Cricetulus griseus: one gene and its partner. The protein of the gene in region 2 purifies or fractionates together with the protein of the main gene of each other region. This does not show direct contact. Links are inferred from orthologs where the notes say so. Each region holds a gene or a part of one and is shown on either strand. Other genes may lie near its edges.

Region 1 (7,713 bases), on a different chromosome or scaffold from region 2:
AAAAGGTGCCAAAAGGAATTCATGGCAGACCACACTGGAGAATCATAATGCTGGCCCCTGGACCCAGGCCAGGTCATCTGAAGCAAAGAATTACATGCCTTGGGGGTATGCAGGCGGTGGTGGTATAAGTGGAGTGTACCTGATTAGTATGGAAGGCCTGGCTTTAGGACGACACCAATCAATATGTGTCCAGACCTGCCTGTCATAAACATGGATTCTGTCAATCCCAACAAGCAATTAGGCTGAGTGGCACAGGCAACAACCCATCCCAAAGGAGGGTGGCACATTCAGAATCAAACACACAATAGGATCAAGGGTCAGACAAGCTGTCTGGCAGATGGCCCAGATCCCTACTGGCTTCAACACTGTAGCATCAGCCATCCTCTCTTCTCAGCTGGTGAGTAATGATGCAATGGTGAAGGTGGAGTAAAAAGCTCAGGCCTGGTTTACAATCAGGTTAATTTAGAATGTGTATGCAAAAGAAAAACTGCATCTCAGACTTGTTCTGGGATAACTTTGAAAGACACCAATGAGGGAGAAAGCTCTCCAGTAAACAGTTCCAACAGCGTTCCTGAACAGGTACTCTAAATGGAAAAGGAAGTAGCCTGAAGATGCCCACAAGGTAAAAGACCAAAGGATCAAGAATGAAAAGGTATTGGGAGAGACTTGGAACTGGGTTGGTGGGAGGGACTTAATGACTTTACATCAGTATGGTGACCATCAGAGCAGCTATTATGGCACCAAACAAACAAAATGACTAGAGCAGTCATGTCTGTCCCCACATCACCTTGGAGATGACAGGGTGGGCACATGAGTGAAGTGACCACAGTAACGAGAGGAGGCTTTGCATGACCCCAACAGCACAGGCCTCACTTAACAAGAAAGAAGCCAGCTAAGCTAACCTTATGCTAGTGACCATCTATCCAAATGGCCAGGTACAACTGGCCCCACTCCTTGAGAACAACCTCCTATCATTAGCAAGTTGATTGCCTAGGCCCCTTCTATCTGTACAAGTAGAATATAGCCCAAAGCATACAGCTGATACCACAGCCCACTCAGACTCCCATCCCAGAAAAGCCTGTTGCCTAGCTATAGGGAATGCAGTCGGCATGCAGGTTGCAGCTGTTGGTCACCCCCAGCTACAAAGCCTCCTCTCCTGTGCCTCCTGAAAGGGCTGCTCTGGAGATGAGAGCATATGATGGTATAAAGGCCATTCCAGCCAAACAAAAGGAAATTCTGTCAAGATGGCTTGGTCAGGCCCACAGAGCAAATGAACCATCCCCCTCTACTCTTGCCCGGACTCCTCTTCTCAGACACTGATCCCCAGCAGCAAGTCAGAACACCCTACCTGAGGCACAGGGACAGATGCTCACAGATGAAACCCTGCCAAACTCCTCACTACACTCACTGACCTCAGAACATAACTAAATAAATAATCAGGTGGTCTTATAGCTTTATTAGAGTCTCAAGCTAGTTTTAAATAGAAATTAAGAACTTACATATTCTATGTGTAGGTAAAATGTGTTGAATCATAAAATGGTAATCCTGGGCTTAATGAAAATAACTTATGAAACTGAAAGACAGTGAGGAGAAAAAAAAAAAAAAAAAAAAAAACCATAGCAAACTAATCAAGAGAGTAGTTACAAGTGGCTACATAGGAAATGTGTTCTCTCCCTTCAGTCAAGCTTAGGGTTCCTGAGAAGCCAAGGCTGGACTATATTGTCAATGGGAACTCAACAGTTGGTAGAGACAAGGATCCTGACAAGTACTGCAGTGAAGATGAAGCACCTGCAGGTCCCCAGGGGAGGAGAACATGACTTGAATAAAAACATTCATAACCACCGATGGAAACAGGACACTAATGCTAGTGTGTCCAGTTCCAGAACACTTAATAACAACACAGATGACATACATGAACCTTCCAACCTCTTTTTAGTTTCCTTGACAACAGTCTGTAGTGTACTCAAAGCCCAAATATCTTCCCTCTATAACTGTCAGTAACAGAGCCTCTAACAGGGAACATGAGAAGATTACTTGGACGACATTATTTCATTTAATGGGAAAAGAATAACAATGGCATCTGTCTACTTGGGACTCCTTGGTGCTTGCACAAATCATAACCCAAGCCAATTACCTCTTCTCCAGGATAGATGCTGTGCCGAATTCCTGTGCGTCTGGCTTTGGCGCTGCATTTGCAAAGTGGCCCATCATTCATCTGTCAGAAACAGAAAGCAATTCAGTTTTATTGTGGGGTGGGGGGAAATCCACACGAGGGAGGCACAATGATGCCTCAGAAACTGTGAGGTTTAATGTCATGAGTACTGAGGCCCTGAAGAGGCTGTCATGGTTGGAAGATGAAACGGATGTTCCAAAACTAATAAAGGTGCAAACTGTCTGTAATATATGATAAAGGGAAACCATATGACAACACTGGAATCCCAAGTTATTTGTGCAGCCAGGCAGGAAATATCAGTGTCAGTACGCTGTTCACCCTCACAGTCTGCAGCACTATCCTTTTTCTTATTTCAGGGAAAATGACTCTACACACAGAGAGGCAAATGTACGTCATATCCTAAAGGTACACACAGGCTGCTTTGAAGGTGGCCTGCAGATTAAATGTTCTAAAAACTAAAATATGTATGAAGCACGGGGGTGGGGGTGTCCAGTAGAATAAAAAAAAAAAAAAAAAAAAAAAAAACTTTGAATGCTAGACAGCTTAAAATATACCCTCTTCCACCTTGTTTCACTTGACTCTGTACGTGAAAAATGTTGAACACCTCTCAGGACAGTAAGTACCAAGCAAAAGAGGATAAGTAGCAGAGTAGTACACTTAGATTTGGGAAGAAAAAGAAACTCTGTCTAAATGGACATAGTTCTGGAGCTGCTGTGGTCAGTTAGGCAAGGTTTAAAGAGAAGAAACGAAGTGCTGAGCAGCACAGAAAAAAAAGATGAGTATTCCACACATACCACATGCCTGGAACTCTAGCAACGGCAAGGTCCCTCCCTGAATACTCACACACCAGCTAGCTAGGCCAGACAGGTGAAGTTCCTGGCCGATGAGAAACTCTGCTTCAAACAATAGGTGGAAGGTCCCTGAGGATTACACCCTTGCTTGTGTTCTCACCTCCATGCACACGCACAGCACACACTTATTTACACACATACTGAGGATTACATTTGTGCTTGTGTTCTATCCACTGTGCACATGCAGGCACACATTTATCTAAATATTTAAAGCAGAAAAGAGGTGTGTGTCACTTATATGTAAATACTACACTATATTCATAAAAGACTACATCTGTGGATTTTAGTGTCTGTGCAGACCCTGGAATCAAAATCTAACATAGATACCGAAGGGTGACTACATATTGATAGCTGTTGTTGTTGTTTTTGAAGTTCTAGGGATTTATAATTCATTGTATTCAATTAAAATATAAATGAAACTATCTCAATAAGACTTTGACAAGAAATAGTAAAGCCAAACTCTTTTTAGTCTCTTGGGAAATATAAAGCTCCTGGAGGTACAGCAGAAAAATAGCATCACTATCAAAAAACCAGTGCTGGGATATTATCTGAAGTAACAGCTGACAAGTGAGAGGCTTTCTAACTTTCCATCAATGGTCACAACACACTCCTAGTGCCAGTGCGAGCTCCAGGGCAGCAGACAAACAGCCTCCATTCTTGCCTTCCACCAGGGTCTACGCTCCCACATGGACCCCTTCACAAGGCTCAAATACACTGAGAACAGGAAACCAAGTACAATCAACAGAATAAAGGGCCCTAGGAGGCTGAACAGGACAGTAACATACATAAAGCAAGGCTGATAGATACTACCTGACTGAGAACAACCACCAGTGAAAAAGAGCAGGTATGCAGAAAGCTTTCTTTTAGGGAAAAAAAAAAAAAAAAGTTCTAAAATTATATTGTAGTAATGGTGTACAGTTCTGAAAAACAACAAGGGATTACAGCTTCTAGTAAATTCTATCCTATCAAATGCAACTCCTCCTTCTGAACAGAAAGGAAAATGTAACAGCACCTTAGGAATGGCAGGGCTCTGTGAGCACAAGGAACACACATGTTGCACAAAGAGATATGCAGGCACAATGCATATCTTAACACTTAACACTTAACACTTAACATAAATCAAAATAAAAGGGCTGTTTCAGTGAAAAAAAAAAAAATTTAAAAAGCCTTTAAAATGGCTGTTACCTGACAAGAATCAGAAGAAAATTCTAATTAATACTGAATGGCATAAACTTATTCACAAACTGTAACTGGTAAATTATCATGCAGAGCAAGTAGGGACAGGTCTTACTATGTGTAACAAATTCACATTCATAAAAGACACATTTTTGTATGGACTGTGCATTTGTAATATACAAATCTGCTATAAAGATACCGTTTTTTTTAGAGCCAAGCCCTGTGGCACAGACCTGTAACCCATCACTCAAGTGGTAAGCCAAAACTGCATAGTGAGATCCTGTCTCAATAACAATAAATATACACGTATAGACATTGTTTTTATCAAATATTACTTTAAATGTTTCGGCTGTTAAGTCATTATTAGCTCACATGCTTAACGAAGGAGCAAATTTACAAAACTTCATGACCTGTTACCAACTAAAACAAGTGATACTGCACAGAGTGAGTCAGTTCACTATTTAGCAGCAAGATCCCTTCCAGGTGAACTGCTTTACAAAGACCCACAAGTTCTCCCTCGTCCTGCCATTCCTCTTCTTCCTCCTACTGCAGGTTTAATTAACAGCACTACCAGCCTGCTCCCAACACACAACTCACAAACACCATCAACATGATTCAAGGAACAGCTGTTCTGTGCTCACACTTTGCAGCTGAACTCTGAAGCCGAAAGGAAATAGCTCTGAAAAATGACACACAAGCCCCGGGAGTAAAGGTCCATTTTTATACCAGCCAACATGCATCTTCTCAGCCCTGAGTCGTAAATGTGATGTGTGGGTTTGCAACCTTCATATAGCGAAAGCATAAAAACACTCGAACCTGGCCTGGGTCGTTGTACCAGAGTTCATCATGCAGCCGGTCAGGGTGGGCCTTTTTGCGTTTAATCTCTGCGATGACATCAAACACCTCGGAGTCTGAGCTGCTTGAGCAGGTGCTCTCCTCGTCGGACTCACATTCAGATTCACTGGAACTCTCTAGCAGAAGGCAGGAGAAAGCAGGAGAAAACATAGCAGAAGTTCATGAACTTAACAAAAGGTTCTGAAAGACTTCCAAGTGTCCTAAACCTCAAAGGTAAGGAGCAGCTGAGATCTAGAAAATTTTTGAGGGGCTACTCGACACCAAACACTGCCAAGCAATGCCATGAAAACCAGACAGTTTGTAATGCTAAGTCATAATCTAGCTGAGGAAAGAATGAAAATACAGATTTCTATAAAGAAAATGAGAATAATGACCAATATCAAATAAAAATAACACAATAGTGATTTCACACTATTCAATAGTTAGTCCTCTAAAAGCCAGAAAGGTCAGTGGCAATTTCCCAGAAGGGGCATTTGTGACTCAGGCCCTGGAAAGGAGACTGATGGAAGGGAGAGAAGGGATGAAGAGGGGCCGTGTAGTCAGGGCATGGAGACAGGATTGGAAAACAGGGATCCTGAGCCAGGTCATTGGTTTCTGAGTCTATCATTTTGCCACTACTGTATGACATGAGACAAAATTAATCTGGGCATATGGAATGTCTCGGGAACACTTCCACCTTCCGGCCAAGATCAAGTGCAGTAACATCTGAGCATGGCATTCTGTTAGGGGCTAAGGACACAGAGTGGCAAAAAACATTTCTATCCTCAAAGGTAATACCATCAGCACACAGTGTAGCCTGTAATTCTAGCACTCCAGAAGCTGAAGCAGGAGGACCACCATGAGTTTAAGTCTGGCTTGGGCAAGAGATTAAATTTAGGGCTACCAAGACTACAGAATGAGAACCTACCTCAAAACACTAGACCAAGTGGAGAATCTTACCGGCTACTTCAAACTGAACTCAGAACTGACACTTAAAAACAGACATTTATGTGAGTAGGTAGAGGCCTTCACACAGGGCTGATGCTTCCTCATCAAACAAGGAGCACTGAGCAATGGAAGAGCCAACAAGTACCACCTGCCTGTTTTAAGGTTGCAGGCACAGGTCCTGCTTTTAGAAGGATGCTGGAACACAATACTTTCTGGTTATAAAGCTAGACAGCTCTGCAAAAGATACACTTGTTAGCCCAACCTAGAAAATGAGATCTTACATATTCTGGAGCGTGACTGAGAAAATAGGACCACATATTTGCTGACTGTAGCTAAGAAAAATAAAAGGAAAAAGAAAATGTTTCAAGCTGGGACTCTGAAGGTTATTTCCCCAGCATCAAGCAGTAATAAAGGAGCAGACACAGGCTCCTCCACTCACCTAAATCTTCATCTAGTTTTGTCTTCGGAGGCTCCCATGGAGGCCGAGCAGCTTTGGCCTTCTCTTGCCTGTTCCCCAACTCTTCCTCAAATTTGTCATATAAGTCACGGAGCCTACTTGTTCCAACAACAGTAGAATCTCCCTTTTCAAAGTAAAGGAGCAGTAATGAGAAACCATTTAATAATCACTATGCTAAAAACCATTAACTACAAGATGCCATTTTTAAAGTCCCAATGCAATCAATATCTGAAAAGGAAAATGCCACACACTGGTAGTGAGACTCTGAGCCAAACACATACTAAAGTGGCTTCACTTCATCTTGGCTTAAAGTCAGAGAGTTCAAAACTATCCTTACTCTTCCAAGGTTAAAATAACACCTAAAGGTCTAAGACGTGGCTACTGTAGGCTGTCTGGTCTTAGGCATGGATGTCTTATCTAAATAACCAAAGACTTGGTCTGAGGTGTGGTTACTATTAACTCTCAAGGCCAGATAATGAGAGATTTAGTCTAAGGTGTGGTTACCAAATGTCTTCCTTCTGGACACCTAGTAAGAAAACTGAACCTACTCACTCAAGTAGCAGTATTTTCTTATGGCAGCAAGCCTCACTAACAGAACACTGACATCCTACCACAGACATTGTGACAATTAATTAGGACAACATTAGAAACCTGGAATAAAATGTCAGCACCATGAAGTGCTCCACATGTGCACTTTCCCTTTGCTACATAACATGAACTATATGGCTTAAAAGCTTGCTCCAACTTATCACATATCATTCCACTATCATGGATTCTCAAGTCTTTTCTTACACAGACAGGGCAATCTTCCAGGTTCCCCACTGACAGAAGCAACTGGCAGTCCAAAAGCAATACCTATTCAGTAGATGTGTTTCAGGACCAGCAAGAGGGCTTGGCAGGTAAAGGCACTGGCTGCTGGGCCTCACAGCCTGAGTTCAAGCCCATACCTTCCTCGTGGACAGAGGAATCAAACTCCCACAAGCGGTCCTGTGATCACACACGTGTGCACTCACACATACACACAATATGTGAATGTTTAAAAAGAAAAAACTACTCAGATTTGGGGTTTAAATCTTTTCCCCAATTAACAAATGCTGTATGGTCCTCTCTTAAGGACCTGTGAGATGTTGCTCTCAGGCAGGCACGCCATATGAAAAGATAGAATCCGTATTCTATTTCATATTATGCTGCCAGGATTTCTTGGATTCATGTTTCCAAACTTTATATGAGCTACTCAATACTTGATTGTAGGACAAACTTTGTAGAAGATGATT
Region 2 (7,713 bases):
CATCTCACAGGTCTCTTTCTAGACAGAACACAACAGCCTTCTAGGCTAGCATCAAATTTGTAGTAATCCTCCTGCCGCAGTTTCCTGAGTCCTGGAATGATAGGTGTGCGTTGCTATGCCCGCCTACAGCACAACAAAATAACTCAAAACACTATGTAGTTCATGGGTACCTGAAAAAGGACTTTTTATGACTAAAAATGCCATAAATATAAGGGGAAAGGCAAATTAAAACCTGGGCAACTACATGGAGCAAACAACAAAATTTCATTAACTTTAATATATAAAACAAGTCCTAACCATGATAGTAAAAAGAAAGCACTCTAGGGTAGACATGATGGCTTGTCTTGAAAGCCTGAGGATGAGTTCAATTGTGGAAGTAATGTACAAGAACCAACTCCTAAAGTTGTGTTCCTCCCCCACACATGCATGAGCACACACACTCACAAATGGTTTTTAAAAACTAGGAAAGCCCTTCAAAACAAACTGGAGTAGAACTGGATGATGGTGGTACAAACCTTTATGCAACACTTAGAAGGCAGAGGCAGGTGGATCTCTGTGAGTTCAAAGCCAGCTTGGTCTACAGAGCGAGTTCCACAACAGCTAGGGCTGTTACACAGAGAACACACATACACACACACACACACACCAAAAAAGAACCCTAAGTAGGACCAGGAGTGGTGGCACCTGTCTTTAATCCTAGCCCTTGGGAGCCAAACTGGTCTACACAGTGAGTTCCAGGACAGCTAGAGATACATATTGAAATTCCCCTTACCTCCCCACCCCCGCCCCAAGAAATCTGAGTTTAAAGAAATAAGACATTTAAGTGGGGCTGGAGAAGTAGCTCAGGGGTTAAGAGCACTGACTTCACTTCTAGAAGACCTGGGTTCAATTCCCAGCACCTCACAACTGTATCAGTTTCAGGGGACCTGATACCCATGGCAAAAAAAACACCAATGCACATAAAGTAAAAAAAATAAACAAAACTCCCATATAAATGGCCAATAAATCCTGTAGTTTCAGAGCATGTCCTGGCACTTGCTCTGTAGACCAGGCTGGCTTCGAACTCAGAGATCCACCTGTCTCCATCTCCTGAGTGCTGGATTAAAGGCATGTGCCAATGTCCGGCCAAAACCTGTTAAGTTTTCAATCTCACCAGTACTCCAAGTAATCAGGGCAGGATATGCCCATTTCTGGATCTGTGGCCCACACAAGCATGGCGGTAGAATACTGGCCTAGCGAGTGCCAGGGCCCTGACTGCAGCACAGCAAATACTAAGACACCACAAAGGGCTCAACAGGTTGTCCCAATAAACTGCCTGACCCTTCTCTGGTTCCATTACCAGAGGCCTCCAAAATCACTTCCACTGGCTGCTGGTATCACTAGGAACTTACCACAGGGAGTGGATTAGGCAGGTATACCTGACCCTCCTGCCAGTGGCTCCACCAAAAACGGTTGTACTGTGTATGTCATTTGCTAAGTTCAAGAGGGGCAGTGAAAACCCTTCATATGATGGGAAAAGGCTACTCGAGAACCAATGTACACACACACACACACACACACACACACACACACACACACACACACACACACACACACACACACACACACACCCCTGTGAGGCAGCCAGGCTGGCATTATGTGCCTTCCTTTGTAGCTTTTTTGCTGGATAGTCTCACTGAGCCTGCAGCTCTAGGGATCCTGTTCCCATCCCCTTAAAGTCATCATGCTTTTGATTTTCAAATTTCACACCTGGCTTTCTTGGTGGGGTGGGTTTATGTGCTAATCACTGAATCACCGCCCCAGATACACTCCTGAATGTAATAAATACAATTTTCTGAAATACATCTCAATTCCACAATTAAGAGTTAGGAGCAAAATTTCAAACCCAAGAGAGTGCCTACATTCTGTTTTATTGCATAGTTAACTGGGCAGCAAAGAAACGAAACCTCTGGAGACAAGCAGGTTATTAAATACTCTGTTTATTGTTCTGCATTTGTGAGGACACAAACAATGCACTCAGTAGAAAGAATAGAAAACATACCAGGGCTTTATTCTCAACCAAGAGCCAACAGCAGTCCTCCAGGGAGACCTGGCCTGGCCTCTAGGGCATCCACCGTGCTCAGGGAGGCCATGGATGGACAGACAGCTCCCACTGCTGCCTCTTCCAGCTCTCCCAGGTCCTCTGGCTCCTTAAGCAATAGGGGGAAGCCCTTATTTGGTGGGACTTATTTCCCAAATGAAGTTCCAGGGTCTCCCCTCATGATTAAAACAGGCCTGCTGTTGGCTTGTTTCTTGGTTACGTCACTAGGATTCCCGTAATCCTGCAACCGTGACTTAGTGAGAAGCAGTTCAGGTGGGTCTGCTATTGCTTTAGATGTCAGTACAGTTGACACCCACAGTGGAGTAGAACTGATGTAGGGTTTCCCTGCCGTTATGTGATGTCGTCTGCTCTCTTTATTCCTGATAGGTGCATAGATAGCCTGACTTTTTAAAAACTCTTTCTACAGGAACACGTCTGGTTCCAGGAATAACCAATCAAGAGCCAATAATGGCTGGCCAGTTCCTCAGGCAAAGCTGATGAGTTCCATGAGCCTACTCTTCTCCAGGCTCACACACAGGAAGGAGGCAGTGGCTGGTTTCGCTCAGCTTGCTTAGGAGAGCCTTGGCTTGCAGGCCCAAGGCTTTCTGCAAGTTAGAAACCGAGCTGTTTCCAGACAGTGTGGTAATTAAGACCCATTGGTCCTTGCTAAATTAGCAAGCAGCTAATCCCGCCTCTTTCCTGACGCCCACTTCACCTGAGGAACAGGAAATGTTTAGGTAATCAAGTTTATGAGAGGCTGAGCCAAAAACAAAACTCACAAAGCCTTTTTTGCATTAAGAAGAAAAGCCTCAAGTACATTTCAATCATCTCAAAATTGTAGTTAGAAACTGACATTATACAAGGAAATAGCAGCATAGGATGGCTAATATCAAAACCAACAGGGGGAAAAGAAAAGTGCCATCCCCTCCCCTCGGCTCTTCACTCAAGACCCAGAGTCTCTGAGAAACAAGACAGCAAAGCCACGTGGAGAAACTGCATCAGGGCCAGGGTTCCAGGCAAGGCAGGAGGAGCTGTGAACGGGCGCCAGGGGCTGTCTGGGAAGGACTTGGAATGCGGGAGCACTCCCCAAGGGCACAGCTCCCATCTGGATCACCTCAGCGTTCTAGTTATGAGATAGTAAACACAAACTGAGCAAGCCAGATGCCAGGAGGCATTCCAAGCCAGAAGTGTGGACCACAGCAACTGCTCTTACGGCAACAGAAGACACACAGAGACGGCTATTTGCACAACACCTGAGGCTCTCGGGAAATATCATTCACTGGTTCTGTTTTGTCTAATTAAAAATCAGAATCAAAATTCCAGGAACTTAGTTAATGAGAGTATGACAGAAATCCGACAGTGCTTTCAACAGTGATATTGGTAACCAAATTTGTTGCTCATCGAAAAATGTAGCGTCAAAGTCGAAGGAAAAAAAAAAACCAAAAAAACAAAAAAAACGTGAACATAGAGAACACAGAAAGAATCCAGGCAGATGACATGGCCTGGACACAGCACTTTTAATGTCTCTGCTGCTGCTCACAGATTCATACCCCTCCCTCCTCAACCTTATGCTGGCAGCGGGATACGAATTAGAAACCAGACTCTTAGAGTTGGTGAATAAAAGGAGGGGCTCACAGATCTTCACAGCCCTCTTTAAAAAGGGTGTTGACAACCTAATGAAAAGGGCAGGGCAGAGGGTGGGGCTGTTCATACTTTTAGTCTTTGGCAGAGCCCAACTAAGGCCAAATTCACCTAGGATGTCCAGCGGCTGTGGCGATTTCCACAGGGTCAAGGAAGCAAACCCAAATGAACATGTTGGATTAAAAAAAAATTTAGAAGCCCTGGAAGAAAAGAGCTTCACCCTGAAAGGGAAGAGGGAAAAGTCTCAGAGGGGAGGGTCGGAGGGTCAGCCTGATGAACTCTGTTGCAGCTTGAGCAGAAGGGGCTTAGGAATTGAGCCAAGGGTGGCGGAGACACTCAGCAGCAGTGGCCCTCTTCTCAGGGATGAGCTCCAGCATGGGCAGCAGGAAATCTGTGAAGCCAGCAGCCTCCTCCTGAGGCCACTCATACTTCTCCACCAAAACCTCCAGAAGGCCCCAAGGCTTCAGCTTGGTGATGTGTTTCAGGTCACCTGTGGGGACACAGTACAAGGGTCACACGGTCCAAAGCCTCATGGTGAGCTCCAGCACCGCCTTATAAACAACTGGCTAGGTCTAGCAAACACTGCTTTTAAATGAGGCGACGGTTTGCAAACAAAAAGCCAACAGCATGACAGATACACACAAAATGCTTCAGTGGCACCAAGGAGTTGAATTGCTCCTTGGAACTGACCTTTTCCCTCCAACAAATGGTACTTGGATCACACCACCGAGCAGCACCCACAGTTCTCAGATGCTTTCTGGAAGTACCTTAAAACCCCGGCAGCTGAGATCTACAGGTCTTAGCCCCTGCCGTAAGCAAGGAATCTGAGGTCATCACTTAACAGCTTCCCTGGGTAAATGCTACTAAGAACGCAATCCACACAATGAGATTGGGGGCCCTTTTCAAAGGCCATGCCGTGACTGACTTTGCACACATGAGAGTCCCTTAAGAGCACTTTCCCAGCTCAAATGAGCTTCAACTTTTCTAAGGACGCCTCCTGCTCAGGTTCCTCAGCACTCGTTAGCAGCTAAAAAACGGTACAGACAACAGAGCAGATCTCCAGATCCTTCCAGGTTCATTTTCCACTTCAGCTCATCTCAAAGTTCATGCCTGAGGAGGCTGGGCAGAAGAAGACTGCCCCGAGTCTGAGGTGAGGACTGCCCTAGGCCAGAGAACTAGACACTGTCTACAAAGTGAAGACATTATCAAGCTACCTCTTCCAAGTAATGTGGTACCCCTTATTCTTTGTTTTGTTGGAGATGTGTCCCTGTGATGAAGCCTCGGCTGACCTGGAACAACTCCTGCCCTGGAGACTGGGGGCTGGGATGAGAAATGGGCACATCATGTCCACACTCCTAACAGCACAAACATGACACTCAAGTGTTGTTAGTCTGTGTGGAGAACCCCGGGATGCAAAGGTGAGCGGGAGCACTGTCCTTGTCCTAAGAGGCTTTCAGTTACTAGACATACATGTGCTTAAGTACTGGGCCACCCCTCTGGGCCCATATTGTGGTTTCTTTTTTAATTTTTGGAGACAAAACTTCTCTATGTAACATCTCTGGCTGTCTTGGAACTCTCTTTATAGACCAGGCTGGCCAGTACCACCCTACCCCACAGTGTGTTTTTTAAGTAGGTGTGGAGGCATGCACCTCTAACCCAACCTGAAATACATAGGGAGACACCACTCAAAACCAAATCAAACCCAACAGTGTGGCTGTGCTGACCCCATACCGCTTTCAGCGACTGTTAAGGCACACTGGGTATCCATGGAATCTCTCTCTCTCTTACACTCACTCACACACTCACCTTTCTGCAGACCAGACACACGGACGTTCTCATTTCAGACACTTTTTTTACCCTTCAATGACTGGAAACAAACATATCTGTTTTACCTTTTTTGGTGAAAAATTCCTTGGAATATTTCCCTGCCACAATGAGCTTGCGAGGCACCTTCCCCAGAAGTTCTATGATCAAGGCGATGTGATCTGTATGTGCAGACATTTCAGGGGACAGAGAAAACAGAGCAGGGTCACAAATGTGGCTCTAGACAGCACACATGCCACTGTCAGGGCCTTGCATACGTCCTTCCTGTCCTCATCTGTCTAATGCAGGGTCCATTCCAATGACAGACGCCTCAGCACCTCTCCAGGCAGCCCTGGGTGACAACCACCATCAGTCTTGGTACAAGAAGCCCTGCTTCAAGTTGTGTCCCCGAGCGTGTCTGCCTGAGACTGAGAAGTCCTCTGATTATTTCCAACTGTGGCCAAAGGGCCTTGGAATCTTGCCTATCAGCTACAGCATGCGCCAGGTGGGCAGAGATAGAAGAAAGACGAACAGGATCAAGGTGAAGCAGTAAACAAGGCTTTCCAAGGGTTAGCGGGTTCAAGTGATAATGAACAATACCCAGGTGTCCAGGGGATATTGAGGAGACCACAAATGACCTTGGGTCCTGCTTGCCTAACTGCAAGCTTTCTTAGTTTGGAGGCTTATCTACAGCCAGAAACCTGAGTCCAATGGTTCCTCAAGCAGAGGAAAAGCATGTCAGCATTCCCAGACCAGCACAATAGCTAAATAACAACACACACATTAGCTACAGCTCTGAAAAGTCAAACAACAGCACAATGGCTGAGGGCTGACCTGACTGTGAGTACAGACTGCGGGATGGAATTCCAAGAGCAGACGTTTCAGTCGGGCGGTGGTGGCACACGCCTTTAGCCTTTAATCCCAGCACTCGGGAGGCGGAGGCAGAGGCAGGCGGATCTCTGTGAGTTCCAGGCCAGCCTGGTCTCCAGAGTGAGTGCCAGGATAGGCTCCAAAGCTACACAGAGAAACCCTGTGTATTCTGTAGCACACACTTCCTACAGTCTGGTGAAGACAAAGTATATAAAAGAGATATAACAGCATTGTACAGCTCCATAAACCTACAGCTATGAACTTCTAAGACAGTGGTTCTCAGGGCTGGAGAGATGGCTCAGCAGTAAAAGAGCACTGGCTGCTCTTCTAGAGGACCTGGGTTCAATTCCCAGCACCCACATGGCAGCTCACAATTGTCTGTAACTGTATTTCTAGGGTACTTGATACCCTCATACAGATAGATATACATGCAGGCAAAATACCAACATACACAAATAAAAGAAATTTTTAAAAAATTTAGTGGTTAAAAAAAAAAAAAAAAAGATAGTGGTTCTCAACCTTCCTAATGCTGCAGTCCTTTAATACATCCTTCATGTAGTAGTGACGCCAACAACAAAACCATCGGCACCACCGTTTTATCTGCCTACCTATGCTTTTTTGAGACAAGGTATCTGTAGCCTTGGCTGTCCTGGAACTCAAGAATTCTACCTGCCTCTGATTCCCAAGTGCCAGAATTAAAGGTGTGCACCACCACCACTCCCTCTCACCACCCAGGCATAAAATTATTTTCCTTGCTACATCATAATCGTACTTTTGCTACTGTTATGAATCATAACGTAAGTGTCTGATATGACCCATGTGAAAGGGTCATTAGATCCCCCAAGGGGTCAAAACCCACAGGTTGAGAGCTGCTCTTCTAAGAGAACACGAGGTGTGTGGTATATAGGAAACAAACCCTACCTGTACTGAGCAGAACAAGCAGGCCCCTGACCGCCGCCTTCAATACAGTACTTAGGAATCTCAGCAGGCTGCATTCACACCATCTATTAATATCCAAAGGGATCCACGCCACCCAGCAGAGGGCAGCCCTGCTTCCAAAGAACACAAAGCCAGGCTCCCCAAAGCCAAGAGCAAAGCATGACAGTGGAAGGCATGGTCTTCACACAGGTATCATGCTGCCATGCAAACTCACTGCTACAAACCCAACATAAACAAGCATTTCCCTAATCAACTTTTTTATTCACCTAGGGATCTGGATAACAGGCTGGCAAAATCAGATGCACCTGGCTGTCTTTTCATGCCCTTAGATGGAGCAACTGACAGTATGGACTTTTCCTACAGGGTCACAAAATTTAAAT

The links. Proteins that work in one complex are often made in the same cells at the same time.
Region 1: the proteins of Srpk1 (region 2) and Drosha purify together in Homo sapiens (affinity purification with mass spectrometry; 3 studies listed by BioGRID and IntAct, counting the BioPlex papers as one, with this or other methods). This does not show direct contact. The link is inferred for Cricetulus griseus from reciprocal best matches to the Homo sapiens genes SRPK1 and DROSHA.

The regions. Positions count from the first base shown.
Region 1 is NC_048595.1:345,853,457-345,861,169, reverse strand, and holds part of Drosha (ribonuclease 3), read right to left. Parts: intron 6,564-7,713; coding exon 6,422-6,563; intron 5,172-6,421; coding exon 5,017-5,171; intron 2,216-5,016; coding exon 2,135-2,215; intron 1-2,134. UniProt on the Homo sapiens protein: Ribonuclease III double-stranded (ds) RNA-specific endoribonuclease that is involved in the initial step of microRNA (miRNA) biogenesis.
Region 2 is NW_023276806.1:233,694,963-233,702,675, forward strand, and holds the end of Srpk1 (SRSF protein kinase 1), read right to left. Parts: intron 5,707-7,713; coding exon 5,614-5,706; intron 4,212-5,613; coding exon 4,027-4,211; 3' UTR 1,962-4,026; downstream 1-1,961. UniProt on the Homo sapiens protein: Serine/arginine-rich protein-specific kinase which specifically phosphorylates its substrates at serine residues located in regions rich in arginine/serine dipeptides, known as RS domains and is involved in the phosphorylation of SR splicing factors and the regulation of splicing.